Schizosaccharomyces pombe: one gene and its partners. Changing the gene in region 1 together with any one later gene gives a genetic interaction. Each region holds a gene or a part of one and is shown in the gene's direction. Other genes may lie near its edges. The genes, in order: nop10, ypf1, rgp1 and dep1.

Region 1 (6,696 bases):
AGCAGTAGAAATTGCACAAATCCATGTTTCATAATTCTTTTCGATAGCACTTTTCTCTTAACCCGTGGTAATCGAACAATTAACTAGTGGTAATTTTATAAGCTTGTTAAGTTAATTAATTGAAAGTATAATCTAAAAGTATTTTTTCTTTCAGCTTTGTCTTCGAATAATAGTAAGAAAACAATGTAAAACAAAAGGTCACCGTTACTGTCTTTAGGGTTATCCACGTAAATCTGTAAGATTAAATTGTTATTTGACGTGCTTCATTACTTTCTCTTTCACTAAGGATTATTTATAATTCAAAAAAAAGGAAAGAATTACTGAACCTATTTAAGCACCGTCTAAGCGTGTTTTTTTTGTTGTATTAAATTCTCAACAAAGCTACTTCAAAGGACCTACCTTGTCCTCTCCTTCATATACACTAATTAAGAAATCTTTAGATTTTTAATACTCGGTCGTCAATACTCAATGATTGCTAACAGTATACGATAGTTTTCTAAAAAAATCCAGAAAGCCACCTTTTTGAGCGGCCCGTAATGAACTTGCTTTCTCATCAGCTGCGCGACAGATTTCCAATCAAAGCAATAATATCGAAGGCCGATGAGGTTATTTTTGCAAATTATAAGCATACTAATGATTTCTTCAAAATTACAGCAACCACCTATGCGTTGATAAATTCAGTCATTGTTTCAAACAATTGCTGCAATAGGCGATTTCACTCAACTTGGCAAAAAAAAAAACATGATGACCTTACTGCTACAGTCCCCGTCATTGATTTTAGAAAGAACCAAAAACTTACATCTATTGTTGTAAACGCAATTCAAGCTATCTATTGGTATGCCAGACGATCCAATTGCTTAACTGGTATAAATGAAGCTGAATACATTTGGAAGAGCTTGATTCCTGAAAGCATTTTTTACCATTTTGTTTCTCTTCAAAGTTTCATACGAAAATATTTGACTGATGTTTTTTACTGTTCAGCTCAGAAAGTTATTTTGCTTTCAACTGACGATAGTGTCGTATCATCTGAAAAGTTGTATATAAGGATTGCTTCCATACTTTCCAACGCCAATGACAAAGTTTCTTTCAAAGAATCATCAATCAATACTAATACTGTCTTCAAAGATGTTTACGTTGAAGTTAGTTCGCACAATGACGAGTTTTTGTTGAAAAATTCATCAAAATGCTGGGCATTCACAAGCTTACTCGTTGATCCTTTGCACTTCATGTTTTCTCAAATAGTTTTTGAAGATTTATCCGGTAAAAAAATCATGAAATTTGAAGACACAGCTGTTAGCACAGCAAGCAATCATTCAAAACAATTCACGAAAGGAAATTTATTAGCAATTAAGTATATTGGAGGTCTATACAACGCTGTTTACTTGATGGGTTTAAAAAAAAACTTGCTTGCATTTGTAGAAAATGAAAAAGATGACTTATTTGTCGCAAAAATTTTTTTATTAGCATATTCATCTTCCAAAAATCGAAAGAAAATTGTTCCAGTGGACGTTTGGGATGCCATGATTGACTCTTTATACGAAACAATAAATGTCGAGGAGACAAAAAAAGAAACTTACAAGTTTACTCGAAGCATAAAAACTGTGATTCCTAATAAATTAATATCTAACGAGTCAATTTCAATATTATCTATTCCTGAATCAGAAAAGACTATATACCAAAATTTTGATTTATATGTTTCAAAGTTTAACGTCGCCAGGAAAGAGTTATCCGAAAAAGAACTTTTCAATAATTCTTTTTCTTCTTCATTTAATACGTTGCTCGCTAGCTTGTTGGTTAAGCCAACCTTATGTCTGATTTCTTATTTAATGATTGCAAAAAAAATGGTTGTATTACAGGAGGCAAACCGCTTATTTCTTAAATCATTTGCCCATCCATTCCATTTGGAACGATACCATCTACATGCTGTAGCTGCAATGGGTGGTCTGTATCAAATTATGTCTTCTACTCATCTGAAAAATTTGTTTTTCTGTTCCAGGAAAGGAATCGCTCTGACAAAATTACATAGTCAGCAATACAATGAATCAACGTTGTTTCAATACTTGTCAGAATTTGTTCATCAGCGACAAAAGTCGCTTACACCGAAACAGAGAATCGCTATACAAGAACTTATTTTAAAATTTATGCAAAGAAATTTTGAAAATAGCCTTTACCACCAATCATTCAGTTCGCACTGGTTTATATCTCGACTATTGATCAACCCGATTCGAATGCTCTGTTGGCATATTACAGATGTGGGGAAAACGCTGGATCTCGGAGAAGCAGAGAAGTTACTAAAATATAATCACAAACAATGTCCGTACATAATTTACCCATCAAGCTTAAAGGCAGTGCAAAAGTTAGGTGGATTACAGTGTATCATTAGGAATGATAATTTGAGCCATATATTCAATTGTTCAAGGAAATATATCAGAGTACAAAGATATTCTGACGATGATTTATCAGAATCCAGTCTTCTACCGCGGTTGGTTAATTTACTTTTGTTTTTTGAAAATTCAATGGGGGAGGTTGCATGGAACAAACTTAGTCAAACGTTAATGGATATGTTTGAAAAGGAGACAAAGAGCAATTCTTTGAGTGATTATTAAAGCAAAGACATCAATTAATTATCTATCTTAATTAGATGCGCAATAAAAAAAAAAAAATAATATTTCCCTAAAGAAAGACAATCAAAAACGAACTGCTTAAAATAGAGGTTTAACTCCCTTGTTTAATAACCCATAAGTTAAGTGTACTAAGGTGCAATTACTAAATGTTCCAAGCAAACGTATGTTAAAGATGTAAACTAAATAGTTGGATCTGATTTGGTCAATAATTAATCGCATTTTCTTAATAGCTGAAAACTCGGATTTTAAAAGAAATTATTTTATTCTAATTTATTATAATGACAATAGCTGTTTTAATTTTACGAAGATTGCTATATCCTTAACCCCATATTGCTTATTCTGCTTACAGTATTGTTTTTAAATTTTAGTGAATAATAAAAGAAGAGAGTCGCTAAATAATTTAATATTTGATTATGTCTGTGTTATAATGCTTTAGCGTAATTTAGCAACAAAAACAGTCACCTGAAGTTGAGGTACTTTTGACATTTACACCTTTCCAGCACCATAGGAAAATTGTAATATCCGTTTTTTTTTTCACAATGCATTTGATGTATTATTTAAATGATGAGGGAAAGCGTGTTTATACTTTAAAAAAGGTATCTCCAGATGGAAGAGTCACAAAATCTTCGCATCCTGCTCGTTTCTCTCCTGACGATAAATATTCTCGACAACGTTATACTCTGAAAAAACGGTTTCATGTACTACTTACTCAATTGCGTAAGTATTTCTATTAAATTAATTGGTATAATGATAGTGTTCTAACGATTAGCTGCAAAACCTTACTGAGCAAATAAGAAAACGTCGAAAAATTTTCGCCTTTAGAAGGGAGCTACATAAGTATGGTTTTGGTTAAATAATCAATAGTTTTGATTTTTCTTTGGTTATGTGAGTAGTGTGCTCAATTGAAAAAAAAATATATTTCAACTTGAGTTGATTTTCCGATGTTTATTGCGAAGCATTATTTGTTTGGCATTTGCATTTATTATCTATTAAACTACAAAGAATAAATCCCTGGTGTATACATAAAATCTTTTAGTAAATGCTAAACAGTTACTGAGAATGTAAAATAACGATAAAAGTAGTAACATACTAGTGGTAATTCTGAATGAAAAACGAAACAACATTTTTTTAACCAATTTGTGAAAAGAAATAATAAAAAAATAAAACAGATGTAAAAAGCCAAGTATCTATTCAAACAGACTCTTTGAACATACAAAACTTAGGATAGTTCAAATTTCTCCATTTCAATTCTTAAAACGGAGATATGCCGCTCAAGCATAATCCTCAAGGAGATTTCAAGTCTAAAATGAGTCAAATATTTTGACATCCGTACCTTCAAAGATGCCTGGCCCTTCTCTTTTATGACTGTCTAAATCGCATGAGACTTGCCAGGCGAATAGACGAGCAAAATTTGCCAATTGTTGTCTCCATTCCTTTGTTCTATATTTCGGAATGTATGGTTGATTAGTTGCTGGGTATTTTTGAGTTTTTATCATAGCCATGATTTCTGAAGCTGGATGACCGGCTTTCTTCATATCACTGATTTTGAGAGATAGGTCAGTGAAAATATCGAGCATAGTTCGGAAGTTCAGCGAAGGCCACCATTTATTCCACCATTCTACAGTCGGCTTAAAAGTGTAATCTACTGAATGAGCAATTGGCTCTACCTTCGCTTCGTCGGTATCTTCTAACGAACGGTCATTGCCATGGAGTGTGGCACTTTCTGTAAGAGCTCTATGTAATTGAGGACGTTGCTTCAACAATGGTTGGACAGGCCTACTATCCCTGTGAGTACGTAAAGAATTGGAGCGAAGTGCTTTATCGAATCCATCAGTAATTTCATCTTTGCTAGTAACGTCTTTGAGGTTAGTGAAACCAAATTCACTACTTTCTATAGGATAATATGGCGTTGGACTTTTTGACCTAACATATCGAAGTCGGCTTAACAATATGGAGTCAAACGCTTTTGAAGAAAATGTTTTACCATTGCGAGTCCAGTATGCAGAATCTCCTTCCGCGGATGAGTTTCTAACACTCATAATGGCATCAAACGATAAAGCGCTGACCGCTTCAATGTAATCTTTGTGCATTGAAAAGAAGTATAAGAGTGGTGCATTGTATTTTTGGGCATATTGAATTGCATTGTTGATAGCTCCTATAACATACTTTAAAATTTTGTGATTGACGTCGTTAGAAATTAAAAAGCCTGGATAGGAAGCAGATTGAAACAATTCAAACAAACTCTGGCTGGAATGTGAGTTTAAATTTTGCGCGTATAAACAAAGGTAGCAAAGCGAGCAGCAAAGCATTTGAGCAATCTCGGAATGATAATCTTTAGTATATTGCACTAGTAATGAAATTGCAATAATGGTAAAATCTGCGTAAGTACCACCTTCGAAAGGAACTGGCATGCTAATTGGTAAGGCGGTCTGCTGTTGAAATGGCTTGTTTAAGCGCTTACAAAAATATTTTTCAGCGGTCAAGCGCTTTAACAGAATTACACAAAGCTTTAAGTGGTTATAAGTCGAAGGATCTCCGAGATATTCAAAACTTAAATATAACAAAAATATAAACAAATCGATTGCTCGATCGGTATCAATAAGATAATGAAAAAACCTCTCGTTATAATGAATAAAAAGTTTGCAAAAAATTAATACAAGAGGGTAGTAGTCAAACATAATCAATGAGCTTCTTTTTGGAATGGTAGATTGCATAGGGGGATATAACAGTCTGCTCATTCCATCAAGGATGATTTGGAAATCTGAATAAGGTTGAAGTTTTGAAAGCAGAATGCTAAAATAGTTTTTTGGTAATGTGTTTTTTGAAGAACGGTAATTATTATAACAAGGAGTGCCGTTGTTGTTTTCTTCCGACATTAGTATGAGTAGGACAGAAAAACAATACTCTATCAAAGACATGTGAGCTACCGAGTTGTCAAGGGGAAGAAACTCAGGCTTCCAAAACATCGTATTGAAACGCATTGCTGTATTGATGAGAGAAGAAAGAAGACAAAGGACTAAGCGCCTGTTAGCTATTGAAGCAACATAAGCACAACAACTGCTTCCATTGCCATCTGTTCGATATATTTCCTCGGAAAATAATGAAAGTAAGAGTCGGAGGACTTCGACACGGTGAAGTTCGTACGAGCGCTCTTTCAACATTGTGGGATGATAAACTACCCCAGTTTCCCAAATACAGTAGTGAACTCCATGGGTAAGATCATTATGAGCAGGGATGGTAAAATTGATTAGGAACAGATAATCTACAACGGTGTTTAAAAAGCTTGCTCCTCGGGGTGTATTGATGTTCGGATCCTTTGGAACTGTCCACGCAAAATAGTCAAACCATTCTAACATTGACTTATCCTCAAATATAATTGGCATAAGCCTTGTCAAAAGTCGCATACAATTTAACGCGCATTTTGTAGTGGGAGCGGCGGGGTCATCAAACAATGTTTCTTTTTGTAGATCTTCTAATTTGTCCCAGAGTACAGCAATAATAGTTTGCAAATTTTCTGGAGCGTTGTCTTTAACTTTTGTCAAATCATCGATAGACATCAAATGAAACACGTCTTCGGTTGTTTCTGGAAGCGTCCAAAGCTAAAGATTATTAGTTAGCAAAAATATTCACGAATAAAGATCACACTTACACGCTCCCATATAAGGTCAAATTTTGGAATGTTCTGAATTGGTTAGTACACTTGAAATTTTCAATTATTTATGATTATATTCAAATTGAATTCACATTCATTAGCAGAGAATCCTAAGAATTGAACTTCGTATTCTCTGGCATTCACTGAATTATGAAACCAACCAAAAGAAAAATATTACCTACCCTTTCTTCGTGTAGTCGTAAAACCGCGTTCCTAAAGTCTAACCTGTAATTTGGTTAATAATGTATTGGTTCTTCCCCAAACCTACGGCAGGTTGAGAAATTGGACAAAAAAATAAACATACTTAGACTGTTGAGAACCCATCGAATGTGAAGGTGAAAAGTATGCATACAATCAAAGTGACACAGAGAGTGAACTGAAAAAAAAAACGATGAAAAATCTATGATTGCGAAATTTGTA
Region 2 (7,301 bases), 2.6 Mb from region 1:
CTTGGTTACAGACAATTCTACAGATGATTCGCGAATTCCGTCCTTGGCTGCCGTCAAGTTAATACGTGGAAAATTTGCTGGTCGTCAACTTCGGAAGGTATGGCTTCCCACTCATTTATGGGTATGCAAACGCGCACACATGATAAATGCTTGGGGATATGCCATTCCCGAAAAACCGACTGAGAAATCCTATCGTCCTACCCATCGAGCAGCTTTTCGGAAAGATGCAATTGCATTCGACATGTCTTATGAACCATTGTTTTGCATTAGCGGGCCATACGAAGCTCTCAAAGAAAAGTTTGGAAATTCTTTTGCAAACGGACTGCCTCCTGTATTTCTGAATTCTTCTAGATCATTTACATCTTACCTCGTGAAGTCTGACATACACGAGCTCATATGCCCTTGTTTTCTACAATGGAATAACCCTACAGAAGATGACAAAAAACAGATCCCTGTAAAAAATCCTACCGAATGTGTGCAGTTAGTTATACGTTTACATCCATCTGCATTTCTACAAGCATGGAATTACTTATCTGGTATAGCTGTTTTGGATGATCGCATTGCTATGCACGATTGGCGACTAGATCTAGCATCTTTTGATATTCACGGACCCGATAGCAACATTATGCTCCACAAAGTATTTGACGACGTTGAATTAGATGAAGCAGGAAAAGTTTGGCAGTCGATTTCCAATTATTCAAGCGCATGCTTACCCATGGGCGCCTCGATATCTGTGAAAGCATTAGTTAATACTCGTTGCGATAAAAATTTATCCGAAAAGGGAGAAAAAAGCTTATTAGATTCTGCTGAAAACAGTTTACCAGCATCTGCAAACCAATATAGCACTCATTTTAGGTATTGGGAGAGACAGGAAATACCCTCTTTTGCAGTTTTTGAGAATAAAAATAGACATACTCATGAGAAAAAATCTTCTGAAAAAGAAGTTATACCCGTGTATATTACGTATAGAAAAGAATGGAACGGACTCACTGTTATTTTGCCTTGGGATTATGCCAAGTTTGTATGGAGGAAGATGATGTATCAAAAAGGAATACGTTTTGGCGGATTAGAAAATTTGCACCAAATTGCGTTTGAAAAAAGAATGCCTTTCTTTCCGATTGATTATCCAGATACGATTAGTGGGCAACTTTGCGAAGAGGAAAGAAAAAAACGAAATGAAGATAGCTGGAAAAGACGTCCACCTGCCAAACGCGTAAATTATCAAAAATTCGGAGATAATTTTTCAGAAATAGGTAACCCGTTTTGTTGTGATTGGGTTTATCTAAACGAGATGGTTAAGGCTTCACGAGATGAAGATAAAACTCTGCAGCTAGTACGTGTTCAAGTACAGTTGGTGCAAAGAGGTAGCCTGCAAGATCGGGCTCGAATTTATTGTCTTAGTGACGATGAACTTAGTAAATGGAAGACCATCATTTATAAAGAAAATCTCACTGCTGAAAATTTGCTTTACCCAAAGTGTCCAAACGAGACGGCTATTATAGGATTCGTCACGACCGGAAATTTCAATTTGAATGCAGGCAAACCTTCTGGTATAGCCAATGTTCTAGCCAAAACGATTAAAAATGAGAAATCCGGATACTGTATTATTCGCAACGTAGGTTGTAGCGTCCCACGATTAGCACAATGGAAGTTTAATCAGTCTCATTAAAAAGATTTGAGGACTGCATTCCAATTTTGCCATGTGTATAAAAAAAGTGTTACTTTTATATATGACTGATAATTAAAACTCCTTTATATCTGTTGGCATCTTCTTGGATGCAACTAACTAAAAATTGGTGAAATTGAAATGCTTTCAAATAGAATAATTGCTAAATGACGCTTAAATATAATTACTGATCAGTCAACTGAAAGTTATAAACCGATCACCAAATTTTCCGTTTTGCCGTAGATAATACTGAATTCAAGGGTGCTTTTTCAAATTCATTTATTCATGCCGTTATTCTTTAGAACATATTTATGGGAATGTATTACGATATAAAGTATATTGCTTTGTTTACACATATAATACGCAACGAATGCATGACTTTGTGGGACCTAATGGCACATTCAAGTCACACCTATATGCTCGAGAGAAGAAGAAAATGTTTAATTTAGAGGTTTTGAATGAACTAGTTTCGAAAAAGCCTAATAACATATTCAAAATACAAACTATTAACTGCTTGTTGCATCAGGTTACCTTAAAACTCATTATCTGACATAATGCACTGTTAGCATTTAAATTATTGTGAGTCTTTTACAGTATCCTCCTAGACAACTGTTTATACTATTGCAAACGCGTGAGGAAATATTTTCACGAGTATTTGAGGTTTGAAGGGGATAAGTTTTTGGATTTCCTTTGGTTCATCATTTTACAAAAGATGGAGGGAGTAATACTTGCTTCGTCAGCTTTATTTACAGTTTATATAGGGGCGAAATGGTCTGCCCAAGAAGAAGAACCTGAAGAAAAACAACTTATTAATAAGCGCTTAGCTGTGCTGTTTCCTATTTTTGGAGGAGTTACGCTTGTTCTGATGTATTTGGCACTTCGATATCTGAGTAAAGAATATATTCAGCTGATACTACAGGGCTACGCAAGCTTAGCATCCATAATATGTTTTGTACGTAGCTTTAATCCAAAAACGACATTTGGAAAAATTACCGCAACCATGAGTTCAATTGCCATTGCATTATTCTACTTTAAAACTAAACATTGGATGGCATCCAATATTTTGGCATGGGCATTAGCTGCTAATTCCATTAGTATTATGAGAATTGATTCGTATAATACTGGTGCGCTTCTCCTTGGTGCCCTTTTCTTCTACGATATCTATTTTGTATTTGGTACCGAAGTCATGGTGACGGTAGCTACTGGAATTGACATTCCAGCTAAGTATGTACTTCCTCAATTCAAAAACCCTACAAGGCTTTCGATGCTTGGTTTGGGTGACATTGTCATGCCTGGATTGATGCTTGCGTTAATGTATCGATTCGATCTTCACTACTATATTAATTCTACCTCCCAGCCTAAGAAGCACTCGACATATTTTCGGAATACCTTTATAGCTTATGGGCTTGGCCTTGGAGTTACAAATTTTGCATTATATTACTTTAAAGCAGCACAGCCAGCTTTGCTTTATCTCAGTCCTGCCTGTATTGTCGCTCCATTACTAACTGCTTGGTATCGTGACGAATTGAAAACACTCTTCTCCTTTCGTAGTGAAACAGAAGATGAAACTGACGAACAAGATAAATGTAAAAGTACTTAAAATTGGTCCTTGATTTAGAATTTCAACATTCGTTTGTTAAAACCCATTCCTTACTTCACGCTCATCCGTTATTCGCCATACCGTATTTCCATAGTTTGCCATGTATATACGTTATACATATACCATGATATTCCACTTACCTCAATTCAATTTTTTACAAGAAATTTGCAAAAACCTTTATTTTGAAAGTTTATTTTAGAATAAAAAGTATTTGATTACAAAATTTAAATTACTCCAAATCACTACTAAAGAGTTGAGCATAGTGCATTTATACCACTTTGTTCCTTCGGCAATTATTTGACTCTGGTGTCTAAAATTTGAAATAATAAATAATTTTGATTATTAGTGAATTTCAGCTGTGTTTCTCCTAAAATGTTTGGTCTGACCACGAAAAGAATATTGACACTGTTTACCAAAAAGCGACAGACGCTAGTTGAGCAAAAATTAACAGAGTATATGATTGCAGGTGAAAAAACGGATAATCAAATGCTTCATTTTAAATTACAGGTCGAAACAGCTACCCCAACCCTTGACCAATTGAATATCATGCTCTCTAACATTGGTAAAGATAAAAGTGATTTACTTGTCGCAGGTGCTACGTCTATTGAAGATGCTTTGACAAAGTACCAGCATGATAATCAATTGTTTCGACGACCTTGCCTTGTGGATTGGGATAAGGGAAAAGTTAGTCCATATTCCATCCTTCTCCAAACTCGCGACTTTTCTAAACTTTTATAAAAATATCTCTTATTCCAACGACCGATTTTTACGTATCATTTTAGTTTATGAGCATCCTTTCAACTGATGTTGAAATGCGATGCATTTCAAGTTACGAATAATAAAAAATTTTGTTATTATTATATCTGCATATTCAATAGTTACTGTAATAGGATTCATCAGAAATTCCTTTTTATCCACTTAATATGTCGTTCGTTGCCAGATCTTTCGAATGGACTTAATTGATTGATATCTTGAGTTCGCTAGTAAACACATATTTGTACGATAGAAAACTTTTTAAGGGTAATAAATTAGCTAACAATGAAAGAACATTTCGGAAGTAGAAAGCTCAAAATAGATTCTTCGAATCATAATAAAATGAGACTTTAAGCATATGTTAAAGCTAGGTAGGTTAAACGGAAATGAGAAACGTGACACGCAAACTGTAATCAAAAAAATTATTTTAAACTAAACTCTAGTAAACGCGCGATAACAAAACGTAAAAGAAAAGGAACGGAAGGTAATGCTATATATTCTTTAAGGGTGCGGGCAGCCAACTGCTATGTGGTTTTATTCAATAAATTTTTATATATCATGAAATTAATATCGTCAGAAGTTGTAGTAGTCGCAATAAATGGCTTTCAAGTAACGGCTAATAATTGCTATCAGACAGGTTAAAATTGGCTACAAACCATGAATGCGTTGATGTCGCCGCATATTACTGCGTACATTGAACGCCTTTCCACATCCAGCGTAATCGCAGACAAACGGCCTTTCTCCTGTATGGGAATATGTATGAATTTTTAGACTAGAAGGCCTAGAAAATCCTTGTAAACATTCCGTACATCTATATCGAACGTTGGCAGCGGAAGAGGTAGACGAAGAACCGGTATGGGATTGTGCAATTTTGCGTGAAGTTGAATGTCGCCGCGATACATGAGCTCTCTTATCGTTGTTGTGATGATCAGAATAATTTGAATCAGATTGCTGACCCATTGGATGAGCCTGCGCGCTGTTGCTAGCCAAAGTAGCAACAACACTAAGTTCCGCGCTCATGTTATCCTTGAAATTTAAAGAAGGAATATATGGATTTCTGGATAAAGTGTGATTGTTTTCAGCGTCATTAGGAAGCGGAACCGAGACTGGATAAGAGGTGTTTGCCGGGCCTTGAGAATCATTTGATTGCGAGGTTGAGCTTTCGGAAGCGTTTTCGGCTTGATTACCATTTGCATGATTTAAAGTATTACTTGCAGGAGGAGCAACCGATGAAAGACGTGATTCATCGACTGTGGGATGATTTTGAAGATCTCGGGAGCTGGGTTGATACTGTGCAAATTCTGTATTATGCGGAACAGGGATGTGCTGGGGCAGTGCACCCTGAGCACATCCAGGACATACAATTGGATAAAATGGCTGTTGAAAAGGAAGTACTATGGGAGCGGCAGGAATAGGAGCAGATGTAACTTCTTGATTATTAGAAGACGGAGGATTTGCGCCTGAGGTATTGTTCTTGGAACTAGGCTGCTCTGCAGCTTCAGAAGATTGCCTTTGATTAGCAAGCGCCAGTTCGTTAGCCTTTGCAACAAAATATGCATAGGAAAGAGGGGAGTAACCAGACAAAAATCCAGCAGGAACAGCAGCCGGATTAGAGTTTCCATTACTAGTGTTAGAAGCATCAGTCGCCGAGCCTGTAGTCGCGTGAGCATAATGCGGGACGGCAGCAGCTGCTGCTGCTGCCAAGAAAGTCGGGTCGGCGAATGTCCCACCTAAAATAGTAGAAATGGGAGGAAGTCTAAGTCGAGCGCTTGATGCTGCCAAGAGGTTTGGAGGCATATGAGGATGGCCGTGAACAGTAGTACAACAACAAAGTGCGTTGTTTGTAGAAGGAGAAAACTCTAACTGACCGGCAGCATTCAGGATAGCAGGCATGCTTGCGGCTGATGTGACATTGTTCTCCAAATTTTGATTAGAATTTGAAGTAGTCGGGGTGTTAGTATTACCTGCAGGAGGAACTGGTGCCGGTGTTGGACGAGATACATTTGCAGATTCCGAAACAGTAGCAGCTTGAGGATCGAAAGCTTTTTGAGCTACTTGTGGAACATCTACCGAGCCATGAAAAGCAGGATTCTGCACATGTGGGTATGGACAAGCAGGAAACATGTTATATACTATTCCAGAAGTAGTGGGAAGAGAAGATTGAGGAGGGTTCTCGTTATTACGTCTATTGATTGAAGGAGTGTTATCTGAGCTCATCACTTTTAAAAACAGCAAAAGCCTAAAGAAATGAAAAAATTGAACTGAACCAAAGTAAGTCAGATCGTTCTATTCGGAGTAGCAAAGAAGCGTCACTGGATAGAAAGTGAGTTATAATGAGACTCGGTTAAATATATTTAATTTCTGTCGTGAGATTGAACACGATATTACGAGAAAGTCCTCTATATTTGAGGGGTGAAAGTGTCCGATATTTGATTGACACAGAATTGCTATCCTACGAAGTAAAAGAATATCTCAGTTTAGCCAAAGCAAGAACAATTAAAAGAGGCAATGCAAGAGACAAAAGAATAACGGGATCCAAGGATGATCAATGTAAGAATAAAAAAGCAATTGATCGACTGATTAACCCTACAGTAAATTTTTTTTTGGGGGTTTTTTTTATAATAAATAGCGGAAATGAGTGAGCGGAACAAACAAACAAAGCAAAGAAAAAACAAAAACTTCCTACAACCTTTACGAAGAGGAAGGAAAGAGTGAAAAAACTAGAAAAACCAACTCAAAGGCGCTCTAGGACAAAAAAAATATGGTCAATCGTTTCCACGTGACCAAATTCCAACGAACCAAGAAACACAAATAAAAAAACTAGGAGAATACAGAAAAATTAAAATGAGATGCAGCAACAAAGGGAACGAAAAGTAATTTGTTTGCTCTCCACAAGCCGACAATTTTTACAGCACTCTCTTTCCTCGAAGATAAATCCAATAAACCGCTACCTTCCAAAATACCAGAACGTGAAAAAGGCAGGAAACAAAGAAAATTAAGATATCCGTATGCCAAACGAGTGGACTCGAAAGGGCAAACAGGATAAACCAAGAGAACCAAGCTACAATTCAGTTGTTGGTCAAATGATGCTGCCAGAGAAAGGATAACACGAAAATATAAGAAAATATTACAAATAATTGGGAAAATACCACTGGAAACTTGGTGGATTCCTTGATTTGCAATTTACCTAGTGGTGTTGTTGTTATACAGTAGGAGTGGTAAACGGGGAAATCCGGTAAATATCTTTATATAAACGTGAGAGATGGCAAAGCTTTTTTAACG
Region 3 (10,179 bases), on another chromosome or scaffold:
TTGTTCGGTAGTAACTTTGCAACCTGCAATAATCAGATCTCCTTCGTTTTCACGCGTTTCATCGTCTAACACTATTAAAAACTTTCCATCCCCTTGTCATGATATTAGCGTTTTATCTTTTTAAAAAGAAATATGCTTACGAAAGTCATTCACTGCTTCCTCAATTGATGCAAGCATTCTGGTATTTGGCAGCTTTTCAGATGCTCTCTGCTAAGTTTACTAAGCACTTAGCTCACCATAACTCTGATAGTTAACACAGCAATGTAGCGTACTTAGATGAAACGATATAATTATTAATAATAAAAATAATTTTATACATTTTAAACCGCCTGTCAATTAGCTTTTATTTTACTGACTCAATTACAAATGATATGGTTCACGATAGCTTTATTGAAAATACCACTCACCGAATTTTTAAATCTAACCTTGCAAATACGGTCATGCTAAATATGATATAATATATCTTATAAACATTAAAGTATGTAACGGACAAAAGAACACACATTTAAGATTAAGAAAATTTGAGCATATCTTACCAGAACTGTAAAATCCACCAAAAAATCTATATTATTTACTATTGTTGCAAAGTAATTGAAAAGTATTCGCAAATTTCACTTACTCAGCAATATAATCCCGATAACTCATATACAATCCGTAAAAGTAATATTTTCAGAGCTTTTTAAGCTGTCTTTTTTCTGGATCGGCGACTGGTTGAGCTAGAAGAGGACGCTTCAGCCTTTGCCTTAGTCCTTTTTTTAGGTTTCTTTGGTACCGAAATAAATTTGTCTTTGCTTAAATCTATGTCCTCTTCATTAGCAGCCTCTGAGTCACTAGCTTCTTCTAACATCTCATCTTCGGCTTCAATTGCATCTTCGACATCCGGCACTTCGCGCTGAGCAGAGCCCTTCATAGGTAAAACATCACTACTTCCAAAGAAGGCGATGGGGTGACTCGAAGAATTGTATTTTCTTGTGAATGCAGATTTTGCAGCAGTCGGTATGGTTTTCATGAGTTTCTCACCTGCATCTGCAGGAAGAACTAATTCCGTTATTGAATCAAAATCTTCACGATTTAGATAATATTCATCCATCAATTCAATGATTTCTGGAACGACGTCTGAATGGCCTGTTGATAGCTTTACAGGCAGAGACTCATACAATATTGGAATATAATGCTGCCGCAAGTCCAATTTATTAGCGGATACTTTTAAACGCATGTGTACTTGTATCTCACGAAGCATACGATATAATTTATTTGTCTTCGAGTTATTACCCAACCAATTAGTAAAGCGAATCTGCCTGGAACCGGAACCAGCCACGAAAGAAGCAGGTCGCACGCAAGACATAAGAGCATGGGTTGGCATAAGTGACCAGTGTTGTTGAGGACCATGAATCATTGAATCAACAAGATCAGAGTCGGAAAAGGAGTTAGCAGCACTAGATATTAATTCTAAATGCTTCAAATGTGACATTTTCGGTGGTTCTTGACGAATTCTATCTGGTGTAGTATTAAGGTAGTTTTCTTGAACCATAAGATAAGAAAATTCGTGATCATTAAAATACAGCTCTAATTTATCATTAATGGTGGACTTGCTTGATGGATGAAACATTCCTCCATGTAAGTAACGACTACAGATATCCCATGGTTTCATAACGATATGCTTTTCAGAATTTTTAATAACAGCTTGGCTATTTTGAGGTGTCATTTCTGAACAGCTTAACTTGTAAGTGGATAGCAAATTAATAATTTGGCGCATATCGGACTGCGTCCCCTGAACCAGTTGATCGACTGCTTGTGGTGACAATTTGAGACCTTCACGATACGCTATAGACATTATTCGGGATCGCATTGAATTAGCATCTGGCCGACGGAAACGGAGGTCAAACGTAGTACGGTCAAGGGGCCGCAGCTTTGGATGAGCACGGTCATTGCAAATACAAATAATTGGTATCATGCTTTTTTTAATAATCATATTCAACTGACCAACGCCTCCACGATCACCCGATGACATGCCATCGATTTCGTCCATAATGAGTACAAGTCGGGACTTTGCCATGTCAACGGGGTTAGCTTTTGTGCCAAAGTAGCCGGCAAGTGATTGACTATCTGTCACACCGAACAGCTGCTCATCTAGCAAGCGCTTGCTTCTAGTGTCACTAGCGTTCAGTTCCAAAACATCGTAACCTTCTAATTTTGCTACCAAATGAGCAGCAGTCGTCTTGCCAATACCTGGAGGACCAGAGAGTAATACGGCTTTGTATAGACCCAGACCATCAGGTCCAGGTTTATTAAAGTTGGACTTCCTGTTTTTGTGGTAATCCTGTAGCCACTTTTGAAGTTTTTGAACGACACCCTTATTACCACAAATATCCTTTAAAGAAGTTGGCGCATATTTTGAAGTCCATATCTGTGAAGGTTGTGATTCCTTTTTATTACTATCGTCCATTCTCGCAACAGTTTCAAGGATTTTCTTTTCTTCTTGTTCCTTTTTCTGTTGAGCAGCCTGAGCCGCAGCACCCGTTCCTCCTGAAGCAGGAAGATGAGTTATAAGATAGAAGAGTCCATCCTCGTTAATAGCAGGAATCTTGTGTTGTTTAATTGTTTCCACTTTTCTTGGACCAGCATTCTCACCTAAGAGAATAAAGTCTGTTCTAACAGAAGGTGCACCTGTCACTTTTCCACCATATTGTTTGATCAGGTCTGTAGCCTCTTGTCTAGTTAAAGTCTCTAGAATTCCTGTAATAACAAAGCTAATTCCCGAGAGACAATCGCTATTGCCTTCAGGGACGGGTTTTGAGCCTGGAGTTTGTGTTGTAGCCGCCCGTTCATAGAAAGTACCTGGAGCCATCACACCCATAGAGTCTACGTCAATTAAAGGAACATTTTTGAGGGCTTGGGAAACTTCGTCTGAGAACCTAGGTAAGCCTTTCGACTTGCTAGAACGACTTGTGTGAGTTGTCGCAGTTGTGGTATGAGATTTTGACTTTGAAGTTGTCGATTTTTCTGCTTTAGGTTGAGCAGGTTTACGTGTAGCTCTAGTTTGATGGACAACTGGCTTACTGTCTGAAGTGGTATCCAAGTCATTGGCAAAATTTTCTGTTTTTACAGGATGTACGACATCTTTGGAAGTAGTAGTTTCTTTATTGGAGATAATCCGCGGTTTAGAACGTGACCGAGTAGACTGTTGTTCAAAGTACTCATCAGGTGTAGTTGAAACTCCATCTGAACCGACACTAAACAAAAATTCAAATTAGCGAACAACGCATAATGAGGTAAAAGTAAAATAAACATACAGTTTATCGTCTTCATGAACAATGGATGGCAAAGAATGGGAAATATCTTCCGACTCATTACTAGTTGGAGGGTTAGAAATATAAACTGATAACCCGAATTAAACGAACCGTTTTTGCACTTTGCTTTTGGATGCAGGAACTTTTGAATTCTCTATTGTACCATCTTCATCATCTGATAAAACGATTCTTTTTTTCTTCAAACTCCTTTTTGGTTTTGGGGAAGTAGGCTAGACAAAGACGTTAGAAAATGAATGACTAGCTTATCAAATTTGACTGATTGAAGAAACAAACATACAGTCGGTGAGACTTTTGGCTTTTTTTGAGCGTTCCCTCCTCCAAAGAAGCTTCGAATGTCAGAATTACTCATTTCCGACGATGAATAACAATTACCCAATTCCTGAGAAGCTACTGTCTAACTTCCAAAAAAGCAGTGTATGTATGTATATTGGGCGACAATAGCAAGGAATGTGACAATTTGCCAAAAGCAGAGAGTTAACAAAGCTTCGTTAAAACATTCGTAAATGAGTAAATTAAGGAATAGTAAGGAGAGTGTAAAAAATTGATTGTGGGCGTTCGTTATTTAATCTCGTAAAATGAGTCGTGGAGGAAGAAAAGTGGGCTCTTTTACAGTACTATTTTGATTGTGCATTTGTTACGAGACTAATAAACGTTCGTCAATACGAATGAAGAAATCCAAGTTGTATGGTTATTATTAAGGTAAAGCTGAAGCCAGCGGCTTGAGAAATTATCGAATATAAGAGTTTAGTGGTGTTCGACAATGACAGAATGTGATGTGCAAATGTACATGCCAGTGAATGTAGTTCAATCCGGAACTGACTTTGAGTGCATTGTAAAATTCACGAATCTAAGGAGTTCAGAAGATGTAAATTTACTTTTGTGCTATGCTTCTATCCATGGTGAAATGTACCTTGACTATGTACTGGTGCGCGTTACAGAATTCGATGAGGTTCAGAGGCAGGGGCTCTTAAACAAAAGGACAATGAGCGGATTAGTACATATTCCCAAGGTATCCAGCAGTTATTCTGTTATTAATACTCTGAACGGGATGATTGGAAATTTATTTGGAGTTAAACAAGCAAGTACATTGACAGAGGCCTCAGGTATGTAATGGTGAAAGGGTGCAAAAGGAAATAAAGACTTGGTAAAAAAAATCTCTCAATTGGCTTACATTTGGAGGGAAGATATAGCTCGGAAGAGTGCTTATACGGTGAGGTGGACATAAAGTCAATTGACGAATTACAGAAAGGTTGTCTGGGAAGAGTTTTGTAATTCATTTGAAACATATTTACTCTTTATTCAATTTTTTTTTTTTTTTTTTTTTTTTTTGGAAGATGGTTACTCTTATTTTTACTGCAACCTACTGCTTAAGCATGAATACTAACCGATAAAGAACAAAAGCAGGAAAATGCCATTCCAGTGCTACTGACTCGTCCAGATATATTAGGAGTCGATATCACGCTTTCTCCTGGAGAGGAAAAATGCTTTCGGTTGAAGCGAAGAATTCCCCTTCGAACAGCACCTACATATAAAGGATTGGCCTTTCGATTTCAACACGCACTGGTCATAGGAGTCCAATCAGCTACCAACAATGCTTGTGTAGAGCATGAATTTGAAATTACTATAGTACCCAACGTTCAACAGCAACCTGAACTGCCACTCGGAAAGAATTCGGGAAACAGACAATCCTCGAAGCTGTTTGCAGATTTATCCAAACCGATTATTGAAACAGATGCGGCAGAAATTGAAGAGGTTTCAGCAGAGAAAGCACGTAGGCAATTCGGTAAAAACGGTATACGACTTTCGCAGGATGCGCAGGAGGAAGAGAAGCAAAAAAAGAAATACGAGCAACACATAAAAAAGCTACTTGATGGAGAGTCTAATGAAGAGGGAGGAGGAGAATTCCAAGATCATGGAATGAGGTCAGAGATCAATGAAGAAGTATTAGAGGAAGAGGATGAAGAAAAAATTGCGTTGTTAAAAAAACTCGAATCCAAGCAACCAATGGCCACGAGGTTTGAGATTACAAGCAAACAAAAAGTGTTATGTCGATTGCTTTTGAGCAAAAGCAGATATCGGACAGGAGAGATGATGATGATTGAGCTAGAAGGACTGGACGCGATGGTTCGACAAGTGCATATGCAACTTGAAAGTGTGGAGCGTATTGTGCCAGACATCCGTATACGCAACAGCGTAGGGACGGAGAGGGCGACGCGAAAAGTGTGGTGTAGAATTACACGGGGAGTGTTTGAGTTGGAAAACATGAGCGCTTCGATGGTTGTGCCGGAGGAATGTCCGGAAACATTTGAAACACAGCAATTTGGAGTGGAACACTTTTTGCGGGTGGAATTGTTAAGGGCGGTGAACAAGAAACGTGAGATGCAGGGACCGGCGCATCCCCGATATAGTGAAGAGGTGCAGAGTCCGAGTCGATCGAGATACAGTGAAGAAGTACAGAGGGTGAGTGAAGGTAGATTGAGCGAAGAGGTAAGCAAGGAGGAAGAGAAGAAAGGAGGGAGGGAGAGCGGTCAGCACAAGCGAATGGCATCGCTAACGAATTCGCGAGAGATGCAAATCCAGCATGCACCGACAACGTTTGCGGCAGAGACGATTCAATGTGTTTTGCCGATTCGAATTGAAAAGCGAGTTGTGTGGATGGAAGATGGAATGGAAGGAGGGATGGAGGGGATGCAACCGGTTTAGCCAAACAATTGAGTAATCCGATCGTTGATCAAATCAAGTCTCAAAAAATTTTAACCAGCTCATACTCCAACCTTGCTAACGTCTGCGAGAATGGATGATTTCGCTTTTGCTTTCCATTTTGAAAATTCAATCCATTACCGCACCGTGCTCTCTCTCGTACTCCCCTCATTGTGCAGTAAAGTGGGAAGCCACGAAAAAAGGATATAACGATTGTTTGTGAGAGAGAAAGAACGAAAGAACGATGGATGATTGAAAGTGTCGCTTAGTTTTAAGATAACGACAATTCCCTTGATTTCGCAATTCTCCTTTTGGGTACTTTAGGCTCCCCTGGCTCCCTAACGATGCTTTCTTGTAGCGCTGGCTCTGGTGCGTGTTTTTTTGCGCTGATGCTTGATATCAATCATGTCATTTCATTCTATGCATTTAGGGGTTCGGACACTGAGTGTCACGAATGCAATCTATCATACAATATCAAATTTCCAATCTCTCGGTAACTTTGTATGCATTATTAGCAGACAAGTGACGTTTTATGCAGTAGTAGCAGTTTTTGCAATGGAAGTAGTAAGCCAGCAAGCAAGGAATGGAAAAGGTATGTTGTATGTGTATCCCCCCTTCCTTGTCTGACCTGACTTGGCCTAACCCTGTCTTAACGCAGCCTTGGCTTTCTTCGTTACACAATGCTATTTCTATTTTAAGTGTGTTATACTGGGTTATGCTATTCTCGAAGCCAATCTTGCCAATGTGAGCAAGTGAGCCAATCTCGGAAAAAACCTCCCCGTTCCTTCCTTTACCGCCGTGCAGTGAGAGGTGACGTGAAATTGAGATCATTGGTGATTGGGAAGATCAGATGGTTTTGGTACGACTTTTCTTAAAATTGCCATTTTGTCCATACCGTCAATGCCAAGGAAATTGACTCGATATCCGTTTCGGAACGCCCTGATACTACGTCATTTTTCAGGGTAGGGGTGAAGTCAGTTTTCTCAAGGGGGCACTGCCCCACATGGGCTCTAATGGACATCGGTGTTTTTTTTTTTCATCTTGCGGCACCAGTCGAGTCAGTTTGACCAAATTGGCCTTGAAAGATGACTGACCTCTTATTTGTCGATGACAGCGGCCCTCATTGACGATGACGACACTTTTTTGGAATGAGTGAATAAGGCGCGATAGTGTTTTCTCCTATTTGGTGATATGGAAACGGTGCGTTTTTCTACGCGCATCTTCCGAAGAGGTAAGGTTTGGCTTTCGAGACCTAAAAGTCATTCTCCTATCAATCGCGTCATGTTAGATTGTTGATGGGCCTTGGGCAGTGGGAGGTTCTTGTAGGGAAAAATAGCACGTTGCAAGAAGGACGAAAGAGCACAAGGAGGAGGATCAGAGAAAGAAAGAAAGAAAGAAGAAAAGAACAAATTCTTGCGCACTTCACTAAATAGATGGTAGCGAAACATATAAAAGAGGCTAGACATAAGAGAAACGCTAGACTTGGGAGAAACGCTGGAGGTAGGAGGAACGCTAGATATGGGAAGAGTTGAGTAGGGAGAGAGAGTAAAGAAAGAATGAAAAGGAAGATTAGAAGAAGAAAGAGGGATAGAATAAAAAGGAAATGGTTTTATTCCTGTTGAATGATTGAAATAGTTGTATGAATAGATGCAAATAACTATCATTAAACATATAAATAGATGCAAATACAAATAATACTAATAATTTAAATAATATTAACAATACAAATAATTTAAATAATACAAATAACTATCATTAAACATCTAAATAACTCGCCAACTAAACATCCAATTCCTATTTATAAACATCGAAACAACATACATCCGTATAAGAATGAATCTTGAGGATCCTTTTCATTATAATAGTATAGTTTAGTAAAGTAAAGTATAGTCTAGTATAGTATAGTATAGTATAGTATTTTCTTTTCTTTTAGATTTCCCCTTGACATTATCGACTCTTTTCTTCGTTTATTAGTAAAGCATGTATGTTACATTAAATCAAATTTCATTCGGTTTTTCTTTTTCCTTTATGTGCAGCGCTCAACAAAGGGACAGGGATGCTATGGACTAAAAATCGTGCTGATGGAAGCGGCAGACATTACAACGTCACCTGCAACGATGCCTTATCATATGTGCGTACGTGTGCAAATCGAGAATGGGATCGACGGACAAAAGAGATGCAATTTTCTTCTCGTCGCAGTAGGAGCGAGCATACAGCGATCGGGTGATACTTGGAGAATCAAGTAGGGACGAATGAAAGTGTGTATGAATTTGGGGAGTAGTAGGAGTAAAATGAAGAGTAAGGGGGACTAGTAAAGAGTCATGGTGGCCGTAAGAAAAGAATCTCGTATAATAAGAAAGTTTTCATATCAATAATATCGATGCATCCAGGTTGTAAGAGGTCGTCATTCAGAAAGGTAAGATATTGTCATGGTCTTGGTCATGCCTGCCCAAATGTTAATGTCACTGTCGGCTCTCGCAACTCGTAATCACTTATGTGAGCTTACTTTAGATACGCTGCCCATGTGGGTCTAGCCAATTTACTGAAATACATTGAACCCTTTCGCAAAGTTCGTTCCACTGCACTCTTTTTTTTTCGTTTTGCAAACTGCTCTTGTCATCCATCCATCCTTTCATGGCTAAACTAATTGAATGGAAGGGGATGGCGTGGAAATTGCAAAGCATGCATGACAGATCAAGTCAAGCGATGTGCTTTGAGCGATACGTTTTCAGCAATGTGTTTTGCGCTAGACTTTTCGCTGCCGCAGCACTTTTGATCGATCGGTTCGGTATTCGGTGGAGTGGAAATTGCCGTAAAGAAATTTCACCTTTTTCCATCATCTCATTAAGAGTGTTCGGTTTCGCATGCTTTTTTTTTTTTTTACTTGCGCATTTGCTTTGCATCCTCCTATTTTGCCTTGTGGCTGCTTTGGACAAGCCATCCCATCAACCAAAAGCATATGCAGTGTGATTCGTTGGTAAATTTTCTTTTTTCCTTTTTACTTTCTTTCTTCTCTTATCTTGCAAGTAACACGATGCGTTTTGTTTACGTTGATTACTTTTGTCTCTACTAGCGCCCTGTGCTAGGCTCAATTTTGCAAGCGGTGAGCTAACTTACGCTACACTATATATCCTCAACCAACAGAATGGGCTCAAAGACGAATAGAGTCGTTTGTTGCTTTGTTCATTTCGCACTGTGGAATACAGTTTCCATAAAGTCGCTTTTTTTTTTTTTTTTAAAGTAAAAAGATTTTTCGAAATTGTTATTGATTGAATGTTTCTTTTTTTTCTTCTTTTTTCTTTTTTTTTTTAAATTCTATCCAATCCAACTTTTGTTATTTTTCTCCTTCTCTCTATTATGACGCTTCCCTCCTTTTTTTACTACCAACGTAACCGATAACCCCAATTTCTTCTTTATCCCCGTCTATCCCCATTCCTTTCACACTCCATCTAGTTCCTTGTTGATGAATAATAATCTTCTTTACAAACAGAAACGCTTGAAATTCTCCCAGCTCTCTTGACTCACCCATTTCATCCAATCTCGCCCATCTTTCTTCCTTATTGTGCGCTCTCTCTCTCTCTCTATCTATGCCTTCCCTCGCCTACACATTTTGCCTTGTATCGCCCTTGTCCTGCATCTCTCTCTTTTGCGTTATATTTAAAATACGAGCTCCAAGCCGTCGCCAACTCGTCAGCCTTACCTTACCCTGTCTTGCCCTTGCCTTTGCCTTTTGTCATAACACTCCCGTCTTTGTTACTTCGCTCTCGTGAAAACGCGATGATTCTCAGGTGACATTTTGCGAGGTCAAAGTTCCGTTTGTGTTGCACCTGGTTGTCAGCATTCACTTTTTACCTCTTTTGCGTTTGTCTTGATTTGCCCCTTCATTTCTTCCCCCCTCCTTTTGCCGCTGCTTCCCTCTTCCACCCGCTCAACCCAAGTACAAAGAGGCACAATCGGGGTTTACCGAAATCCTTATATATTAGATTCACTATACTCCCTGTTCTTGATCTTGGTTTTGTCGTTGACTTTTTTGTCACTAGGTGAGCTTCTCTCGCATATCTCATACTCACCCACTCCCGCTCACTCGCTCTCGGCGCACTCGTATACATTGCAGTGTTGTACGTCTTTACGCACTTACCCTTAGTCAGCCAGCATAGCAGCACTCTTG
Region 4 (8,239 bases), on another chromosome or scaffold:
TTTAGGGGTTCAGGTTGCTTTCTTTAAGGGCGTATAAAGAATGGTTAATGAACTATTTATTAATAATAATAGTATTATTATTATATTACCGACATTCCAGTGAATTGAATGAAACTATTAAAACGTAGTTATTGGATTTTAGCAAAGATTTTAATTTATTGTAACACAAATATTTGAAATTTAACACTTCGAATGTCAAACGGTGCTACACTGATTCACTTCAACCTTTCTAATAACCAGCTACTCCATCACATCTCAAATCTCTTCATTTTGCACATTTACGTTCATATATAATTTTTATATTATTTTTTGAAATTTTTTCTCTTGAAATCCAGTCACCTGCTTTCATTCCTATTGCTTTATGATGTTTATGCAACAATTTCGAAATTTGTTGCATCCTGCCATGAAGGGAGCCAGGAATATTTCAATATTAGCTGGAGGAGGAACTATGAGAGGGTTTCCGACAAGAAACCCTTTTAATACCGCTACTTTATACAGTTCTTTACCGACTATGAACATCTTCGGTCAAATGCAGCAAGTGCGTTGGAAAACGTATGGAAACGAGTATCAACCCTCAAATAGAAAGCGTAAAAGAAAACACGGATTTTTATCTCGAATTCGTTCTGTTAACGGTCGTCGTGTTTTACGAGATCGAAGACAAAAAGGGAGGATGTATCTGAGCCATTGAGTACATATTATCTTTTAATGGGCTCTAATTTGCATTAGTAACCTCTATCAATTCTTCATTTAAGTAATGCTTTCTAGTTTGTGATACATTTTCTTTCCATTGGTTCTTTGTTTAATTTTACTTGTTGAACTTTGAACTTTAATAACTTCTTTAAAACACGAGTTTATAAAATTTATTTTCCATGTCTGCGACTATATTTTTCATGAACAATTTTCCATCATTTATAAAATAAACCGTAATTTTTTTATATATTGGGTGCGATCATATCGGACTTAACCCACTTTTCTACCGTTTCTTTAGAGGTGCTTAAAAGCAAAAATTGTCTAGCTTCTAAAGCTATCCATAATTGAACCATTGGGTTTGTGAGTGAGACATTGGATTTCGATGAAGCAGAACGAAGATATGGTGTAGCATTACTTAATAGATCCATTTCTGGATATAGTTGGCGTCCAGCGCCTTCAACTAAAAGGATAGATAGCACAGTATTTGCGAAATTTGCTTCAATTCGAACATGATGCTCTCTCGCCATAGTCATTACTTCTTGTAATATAGTTCCTATTTGAAGTGATTTCAGTGAAAGCGTGCTCTTTTGAATTTCATTCAACAAATGTTCCATTTTAAGAGCAAATATGTCTTTGTTTATAACGCGTTCTGTCTGCCTGCTCCTTTCAACCATCAACAGTCCAGCCTCATAGCCATGGAAAGTAAGTACGGCTTGAAACAGATCCAAAAAATTTTTCTGATCCTGCGTACTAAGTTTCGTTACTAATCCAGCATCCAAAAATACTAAAGTCGGTCGATAGCCCAAGATGTTTAATTCTTCCATAGCAGAATCCCATTCCTCCGTCGAACATGTACTTAGAATTTTATAAATTGAGTCATTAATCTCATTATCTTGATTAAAGATTGTTTTAGGGATTCCTTTGTAAAATTTAACAAGGACATTACCCGGATGAAGATCAGCATGTGTAAAGTTGTCAACAATAAGCATTTGAAATAATGCATTATTTCCTGTGTTAGCTAACAACTTGTTAAATGGTCCTGACTTATGTTTGAGGAACGCGCTTAATGGGATACCCGGCATATAGTCTTCTAGTAGGATTTGATTAGTCGTGTAATCATCATAGGGAGCTGGAAATTCAACATATCTATTTCCTCTAAAGTTAAGACGGAACTGGTTGAGATGAAGCGCCTCATAATGTAAATTCAATTGCTGGTTTAACATTGCCCCAAATACCTTAACTTCGTCGGGCAGAGAAAGCCACTTCATTGAAGGTACCAAATTAATTAATTTTGCGAAGAAACCTAAGATTTGTAAGTCTAAAGAAATGTATTTTTCAACATTCGGGTGCAAAACTTTAATGGCTACATCTTGAGTCACTGGCGCATCAGAGATATTTTTCTGTCGAAACCCTATAGATTGTAGCATACTTGTAAAGTAGGAATTATCTTGCTGCGTAGCTGCTTTCTTGATGGTAGCCGTATAGACTTGAGCAATTGCTCCAACACCTATAGGTATTGGGTTAAAATTAACAAAAATTTCCTCGATAGATTCCACTTTATAAGTCTTGCAGATGACTGATTGAGTATAGGCAAGGCTGTGGGGCGTTACATGTGAATGTAATTTGGACAGTGTTTTACAGAAAGCAGGAGGAAACAAATCTGTCCGTGAAGCAGCCCATTGTCCCAACTGCAAAATAAAAAAATAATGTTAGTAACATGATAAGCGTAAATTCAAAACGTACCTTGATAAACGTTGCTCCTGCTCTTTCTAATTGAGTAACGAGGAAACGAAGCCAAATGGATACGGTTAAAGACGACAAAGATCGAAGATGCAGGAAAGAAATAAGAGCGATAAACGGTAAGGTAATAATAATTGGAGAGAAAATAATAAATAAATTAAATGACCTGAGGAGAATATTAAAAAATTGTTTTATTTTTCCAAAAATAGAACGAGGTCGATTGCTTCTCTCTTCTAATTCAAGTTCGTCAAAGGAGAAAATATTATTCTTTCGATTTTTGACTCTGTATAAAATCCATAATCCTCCGACCGTAAAAGGGAGGACAAGAAATGTAATCCTTAGTATCCTCCATTGCTTCTGGTCTTCACTTTTTTGTCGGGTTGTAAACTTTCTTGCAAATATAGGTTTGGGGAATAAAGATATATGCTTCAATCGATTAACCAGTACGTGCTTTTTTTTGTATGGTGACCAAACTGACTGTGTCCCGCATAACCTTTTCCATCTTGTGTTCTGCGAGTTAACGACAGGAATATAATTTCTTTGAATAATGAAAGCAAAACGAGAGTTTGCAGAAGGAATCATGCTTAGACTAAGTCCCGAACGTATGTGAGAATTCCAGTGAGAAAAACTAATCATGTTCACCAATTATTGACTTTCAGAAGAGCATTTCCTTATCAAGAATCAAAAAAATAAATAAACTAATTACAATGGGTATTTTCGATTGAAAACACTGGCAAACCTGATAAAGAAAATAGGAATTGTTCAATAAATGTGTATAGCAGCTACTAAAAGAGGTGTTTCAAAGAATTTAGGAAACCCTGTCAACCTTTAATATCTTGAAAATAAAGAATGCACCAGTTCAAAAATATTGCTCAAATTTACGTGTCACTAGTGTCTATTGGTGTCAACGTCGAATGACGCTGTCTACTTGTGACTGGGAGAAAGAAAAATAATAATTGTTAGCCAAAATGAAGACTGTAATAATAATCAATTCTTTCATTTTATAAATAAAATATTGACTAATTAATGCTCAGTTCCTATTTGGATTCTATAGAATTGAACTTACAGTATGATAAACTGGATATGATCATCTAGTACGTGAAGAAACATTTTTTTATTCATTATTACCAATAAAATGTAATTTATCAAAATTTCAAAGTTCTAATTGAAGGGAAGATTATTAAAATATAAAAAATGACTGATTATAGGAATCACATTTTTTTTCCTTATACACCTATAATCGGTAATATTCAAATAAGTTAAATAATCAGTTCATGGTAGTATTCTGCTGCCAAAGAGAGATAATTGTAAAATCGCTAGCAGTTGATAAAATAAAGTATAAATTGAAATTAAAATGGAATTGTTTGTACTGAATTAAAAAGCTTTACCATCATTACTTCAATTGCCGTTAACTCAGAGACTAGCATAGAGTTTATCTATAGAGACTCTTTGATTGATTTAATAAAAAGCCTTTGATCGACGATGGTTCATTCGCCAAGTTTCATTGATGAGTAACAGTTGACTGAGAATATTTCACCTAACCCATTCTTGATAAAAGTATAAATTGGAAGTGCTAATTTAGAACAAATTATTAAGTTCTTGGCTCAAAATTTTGAGATGTCCCTACAGGATGTGTAAAAGTTGAGTATGAATATTATTACTGATGCCCAGCTATCAAATGTCATCCTCTCCCCAACACTACCAATTCATTCGAAAACATACATATTGAATGAAAACACACGAAAATCAACGATACTGTTTTTTAGATTCTGACATTTGTAAATTACGAGAGGGTATTTTGAACGAAGTTGAAGAATTAATTCAGGATGACCGAAAATTTGCAGTCGGAATCAATTCCCCATGAAATACTCCCTAAGGAGCCTTTTGATTTACCAATGAACAACTTAAAAAGCTCTCCTAAAAATAAAGATTCAGAGAAACGAATAAATAATTCGATCGCTGAAAGTGAGCAGGTTGTTGATTCGGCTCTATCTAATCCAGAGACCAATGCTAATGAGGATATTATCGCACCTCAATTGCCTTCTCAAAATTCTGAAATCATTGAAAAAAACTCGCCAGTGAACAAACTGAACAGTTCCACGTCCCTCACAACTCATCAGTTAGCGTCACTTCCTAAATTAGAGGTAACAGATCATGATAATGTATCTGAGGCAGAAACTGTAGTCTTAAATGAAGATGAAGAGAAAGAAACATCTTTAGTTGGTTCGGTATCAGTCACTGAGGACTTAGGTGACTCAAGTGCAATTGGCAGAACCATACTGGTAAACAACTCTGTGGAACCTCAGATGGAAAACACAGCAAATATAACCATTGTTAGTCCTTCATTGAAGGAATCTGACTTTGAGTCTGAAGAAAAAGCTACCAATGACAACAATGGACTCATAGAGACTAACCACAACTCGAAACTTGAGGAGTCTTCTGAGCATGAGGAGGAAGAAGACGAAGAGTCGAATATTGAAAGAACCGAAGATTCTGACCACCAGATACCACAAAGAGGTGGAACTTTAGAAGCACCCAGAAAAGGTGGTCCTCGAAGTGGCGTTGGAAGTCGAAAGCGTAAACGTGCAACAGTTTCTCGAAAATGGTCTACTAACAGTGAGAGCAAAATAAAAAGGGTAGCTCTTGAGACCAGCCAAGAGGAATCCGATCGTGAGATTGCAGATCGTCGTTCCGCATCTGAACAGGCTCATGAAGCTGACGATGAAAAGGCTATAAAACGGAAAGAAGCGTTTGATGCTTTGCTAAATATAGAAACGGAGTTTACTTTTTTACGAAACCGTTTATATGGGAAGAAACTGTTAAAGCTGAACGAGCATGAGGAAATGATACAAAACGAAACCCATGAGCGTTTTAATGCCTGCATTGATCTTATAACAGAGCGGCGAGATGATCGTGTGCGTTTAGCTACTGAAAACCTCATGAAACAACTTGGGAATATAAAAAACGTAATGGACTATGTAACGAAACAGAGGAAGTATCAGTTACTGTTTGATAAAAGAAGAATACGACAAGCGCTTCTAACCAAAATTGCAACGAAGTGCTTTCAGCTTTTAAACAAACAAAAATCTGTTCACGATCCCACATATATTACTCAAAAAACCATGTCATATCGCCAAAGTGCCTTGTTACAGAAGCAACGAATTGAATATGAAGCTGCAGTTTTGTGTGAGCTTAATAGTTTTGCTGGGTTTCCGACAGCACCTATTATCGAAACAGCTTCTTTTGATGACATCCGCAACGACCTTTTAGAAATGGGATGCCTCAGTGAAAATCAAGACTAATTTCAAGCATCCTCATTCCCCGCGATAATTCCTAATTTCCTTCACGTTTTACTTCAATTTTGACACACAATTTCCTTTTTGGTACGGTGTCAAGAGTGTTTTTTTTTTTTCAGAGCCTAGTTAAAACTCTTGCCTTTCGTTATCTATTCTAATGTATTTTCTTTTTTTTTTTTTTTTTTTCTAAGCGATAATATAACACATTCGCTCTTCGTTTGTTTCATTTTCTTTAGAATTTACATATTCGGTTAATATTTTTAATTCAGTATTTGTTTCTGACTTAACTAATGAATTAATTTTACAGCGATTCTTTAAGTTTGTAACAGCTATCCGTCTTACTCATTTTGCCTTATAATAAATTTGCTTATGAACAATTAAGTATGTTTAAATTTGATAATAATCATGTGCTTCGCAATCAAAACTAGTTAAGCAAAGTATCCTACTTATCGTTCGATAAAGCTGACTTGTTGACGCATTCAATGGTGTGGCACTTAGCGCCGTAAACAAGTCCTATGTACATTTGAAGGATTTTAATTTAACTGATTTAATAAAAAAAAAAGATTTAGTTTGTTCAAATAAGTAAAGTAATACTCCTTTCACTTAGACTCAATCCGTTTGATGATAAAAAGGTGCGTTATACGGAAATGAAGTTTCCTCTTCTCATAATCGTTTTCTTTTTATATTGAATAATTTTGTTAAATGTATAAATGGAATAAAAAGATTTTCTTTTTCAACAAAACATTCCTCTATTCGCAATTGCATTGCTAACTTTCACCAAGTCGGATGCCAACTGCCTTTTACCTAATTTCAGTGTCAAAGAGCCAACAAACATGTTAGAAGGCCTAGTTGCCGGTATGAATTATACCTTTTTTTGAAAGACATTGATATTAATAAAATAATTAGGCCTCTTGAACAAAATTTTAGGTTCGTATGTTGACAACTTGGATACTAAACAACTAAACATCGGCGTTTGGGGTGGCCATGTTAGTTTGCATAATTTACGAATAAAACCTGAGGTAACTAAAAATGAACGATTGATTGCAGTTTCACTGACAATTGTTTTATAGGCCTTAGATAAACTCGGAATTCCCATTGAAATCACTAGTGGTTTAATTGGCACGTTTACGCTGGAAATTCCATGGTCGAATCTTCGGAACAAATCTTTAACGATCAATATTGAAGACATATATTTGTCAATTCATCCCCAAGCGAAAAACTCTTTAACACGCGATGAGTTGGAGCAATCTCAACAAGCTTTAAAGCAGGAACAGCTGGATAGTTTTGAAATCTTACGGAAAAATTTTCGAGAAACTTTAGAAGAGTCTTCATCAAATCCAAATATAAGTAGAAAACAATCTTTTATTGAGTATCTTATTGCCAAACTTACTGATAACATTCAAATATACATCGAAAGAATTCACTTGCGGTTTGAAGATAATTTGAGTGATCTTGAAAAACCTTATTCTCTTGGATTGACGCTTTATTCGTTAAGAGTAACCTCTACAGATGCTAGTTTTACCGAATATTTGCTTTCAACCGATCCAATTCCTTCCTCTTGCATTCATAAAATTATTACTGTTGATTATTTCTCAATATACTGGATAAGTAAGTGTGAAATTTCTAAATGCACTACTACAGAAGACATATTCTCTTATTTAAAGAACCTGATTCCTAGTGCAGAAAAGTCACCTGCTTATAATTACATTTTAAAGCCGCTACGGGCAACCGCCCATGTTGTCTTATTTCGACATCCGACAGACCAGATAATGCAATTAAGGGGAAAATTATCTGTTGAAGAAATATCAATTACGCTAAGTGATCATATGTATTACAGTTTACTTGGTGTTATTGACTACTTTCGTGTTGTAATGAAGCAACAATATTATCTTCAATATAGGCCTAAATCGACTCCTAAAGAGAAACCATTGGAGTGGTTTAAGTATGCCATTTTAGTTGTTAAAGATTCTGTTCATGAGAGCAGATATCACTGGACTTGGAAATACTTTAAAAGGAGAAGGGACGACAGAATAGCTTACATGCATATTATTCGTAAGAGGTATTTGAATGAGCAAATATCAAAGGAAGAAATTGATTTGCAAAAAAAGATAGAGAAACGAAATTCTACTTACGATCTAATTAAGTACCGTTCACGTGTGCATACATCTCTGATTGAGGAAAGGAATTCTATTTATTTAAAACCAAAAACTTCGGCAGCTCATGGATTGTACGATTGGTTTTCTGGGTATATACGAAAGCCGCAGTCCCAGGATGAAGATACATTAGCAAGTACTGATAAAACAGCCGCTGACTTGACTGATCAAGAACAGAAAGAATTTTTTTCTGCAATAGAATGGAGCGGACAATTATATCCTGATACCGTAAATTTAGATCCGGATATGTGTATGGCTAATGTTGAAGTCTCTATCGCTAAAGGAAGTTTTGTCATACAATCTCACATTAATGGACGAGTAATACCTTTAATTAAGCAAAGGTTTGAGAGTTTTGCAACA

The links.
Region 2: mutations in nop10 (region 1) and ypf1 together harm fitness more than expected from each alone (negative genetic interaction), as found in Schizosaccharomyces pombe (one large-scale study listed by BioGRID).
Region 3: mutations in nop10 (region 1) and rgp1 together harm fitness more than expected from each alone (negative genetic interaction), as found in Schizosaccharomyces pombe (one large-scale study listed by BioGRID).
Region 4: mutations in nop10 (region 1) and dep1 together harm fitness more than expected from each alone (negative genetic interaction), as found in Schizosaccharomyces pombe (one large-scale study listed by BioGRID).

Annotation. Positions count from the first base shown.
Region 1 is NC_003424.3:1,631,972-1,638,667, reverse strand, and holds nop10 (snoRNP complex protein), read left to right. Parts: upstream 1-3,163; coding exon 3,164-3,341; exon of another isoform or gene 3,342-3,393; coding exon 3,394-3,410; 3' UTR 3,411-3,557; downstream 3,558-6,696. Other genes in the region: structure-specific endonuclease catalytic subunit Slx1, read right to left, coding at 1-25; SPOM_SPAP27G11.14C (uncharacterized protein), read left to right, coding at 537-2,606; SPOM_SPAP27G11.12 (uncharacterized protein), read right to left, coding at 3,926-6,223, 6,274-6,306, 6,459-6,501, 6,581-6,600. UniProt on the Schizosaccharomyces pombe protein: Non-catalytic component of the H/ACA small nucleolar ribonucleoprotein (H/ACA snoRNP), which catalyzes pseudouridylation of rRNA and is required for ribosome biogenesis.
Region 2 is NC_003424.3:4,187,975-4,195,275, forward strand, and holds ypf1 (intramembrane aspartyl protease of the perinuclear ER membrane Ypf1), read left to right. Parts: upstream 1-2,286; 5' UTR 2,287-2,378; coding exon 2,379-3,266; 3' UTR 3,267-3,507; downstream 3,508-7,301. Other genes in the region: pop100 (Rnase P/MRP subunit), read left to right, coding at 1-1,669; SPOM_SPAC25B8.18 (electron carrier protein), read left to right, coding at 3,639-4,004; loz1 (zf-C2H2 type transcription factor), read right to left, coding at 4,668-6,236.
Region 3 is NC_003423.3:3,852,283-3,862,461, forward strand, and holds rgp1 (protein sat1), read left to right. Parts: upstream 1-3,936; 5' UTR 3,937-4,071; coding exon 4,072-4,414; exon of another isoform or gene 4,415-4,704; coding exon 4,705-6,014; 3' UTR 6,015-7,734; downstream 7,735-10,179. Other genes in the region: rib3 (3,4-dihydroxy-2-butanone 4-phosphate synthase), read right to left, coding at 1-92, 141-177; DNA replication factor C complex subunit Rfc1, read right to left, coding at 680-3,233, 3,294-3,353, 3,402-3,520, 3,589-3,660.
Region 4 is NC_003423.3:3,797,024-3,805,262, reverse strand, and holds dep1 (Rpd3L histone deacetylase complex subunit, Sds3-like family protein Dep1), read left to right. Parts: upstream 1-4,113; 5' UTR 4,114-4,256; coding exon 4,257-5,732; 3' UTR 5,733-6,078; downstream 6,079-8,239. Other genes in the region: mrx14 (mitochondrial 54S ribosomal protein bL34m), read left to right, coding at 362-688; cqd1 (ABC1 kinase family protein ), read right to left, coding at 933-2,378, 2,434-3,066; vps1301 (lipid transfer protein), read left to right, coding at 6,560-6,581, 6,633-6,745, 6,797-8,239. UniProt on the Schizosaccharomyces pombe protein: Component of the RPD3C(L) histone deacetylase complex (HDAC) responsible for the deacetylation of lysine residues on the N-terminal part of the core histones (H2A, H2B, H3 and H4).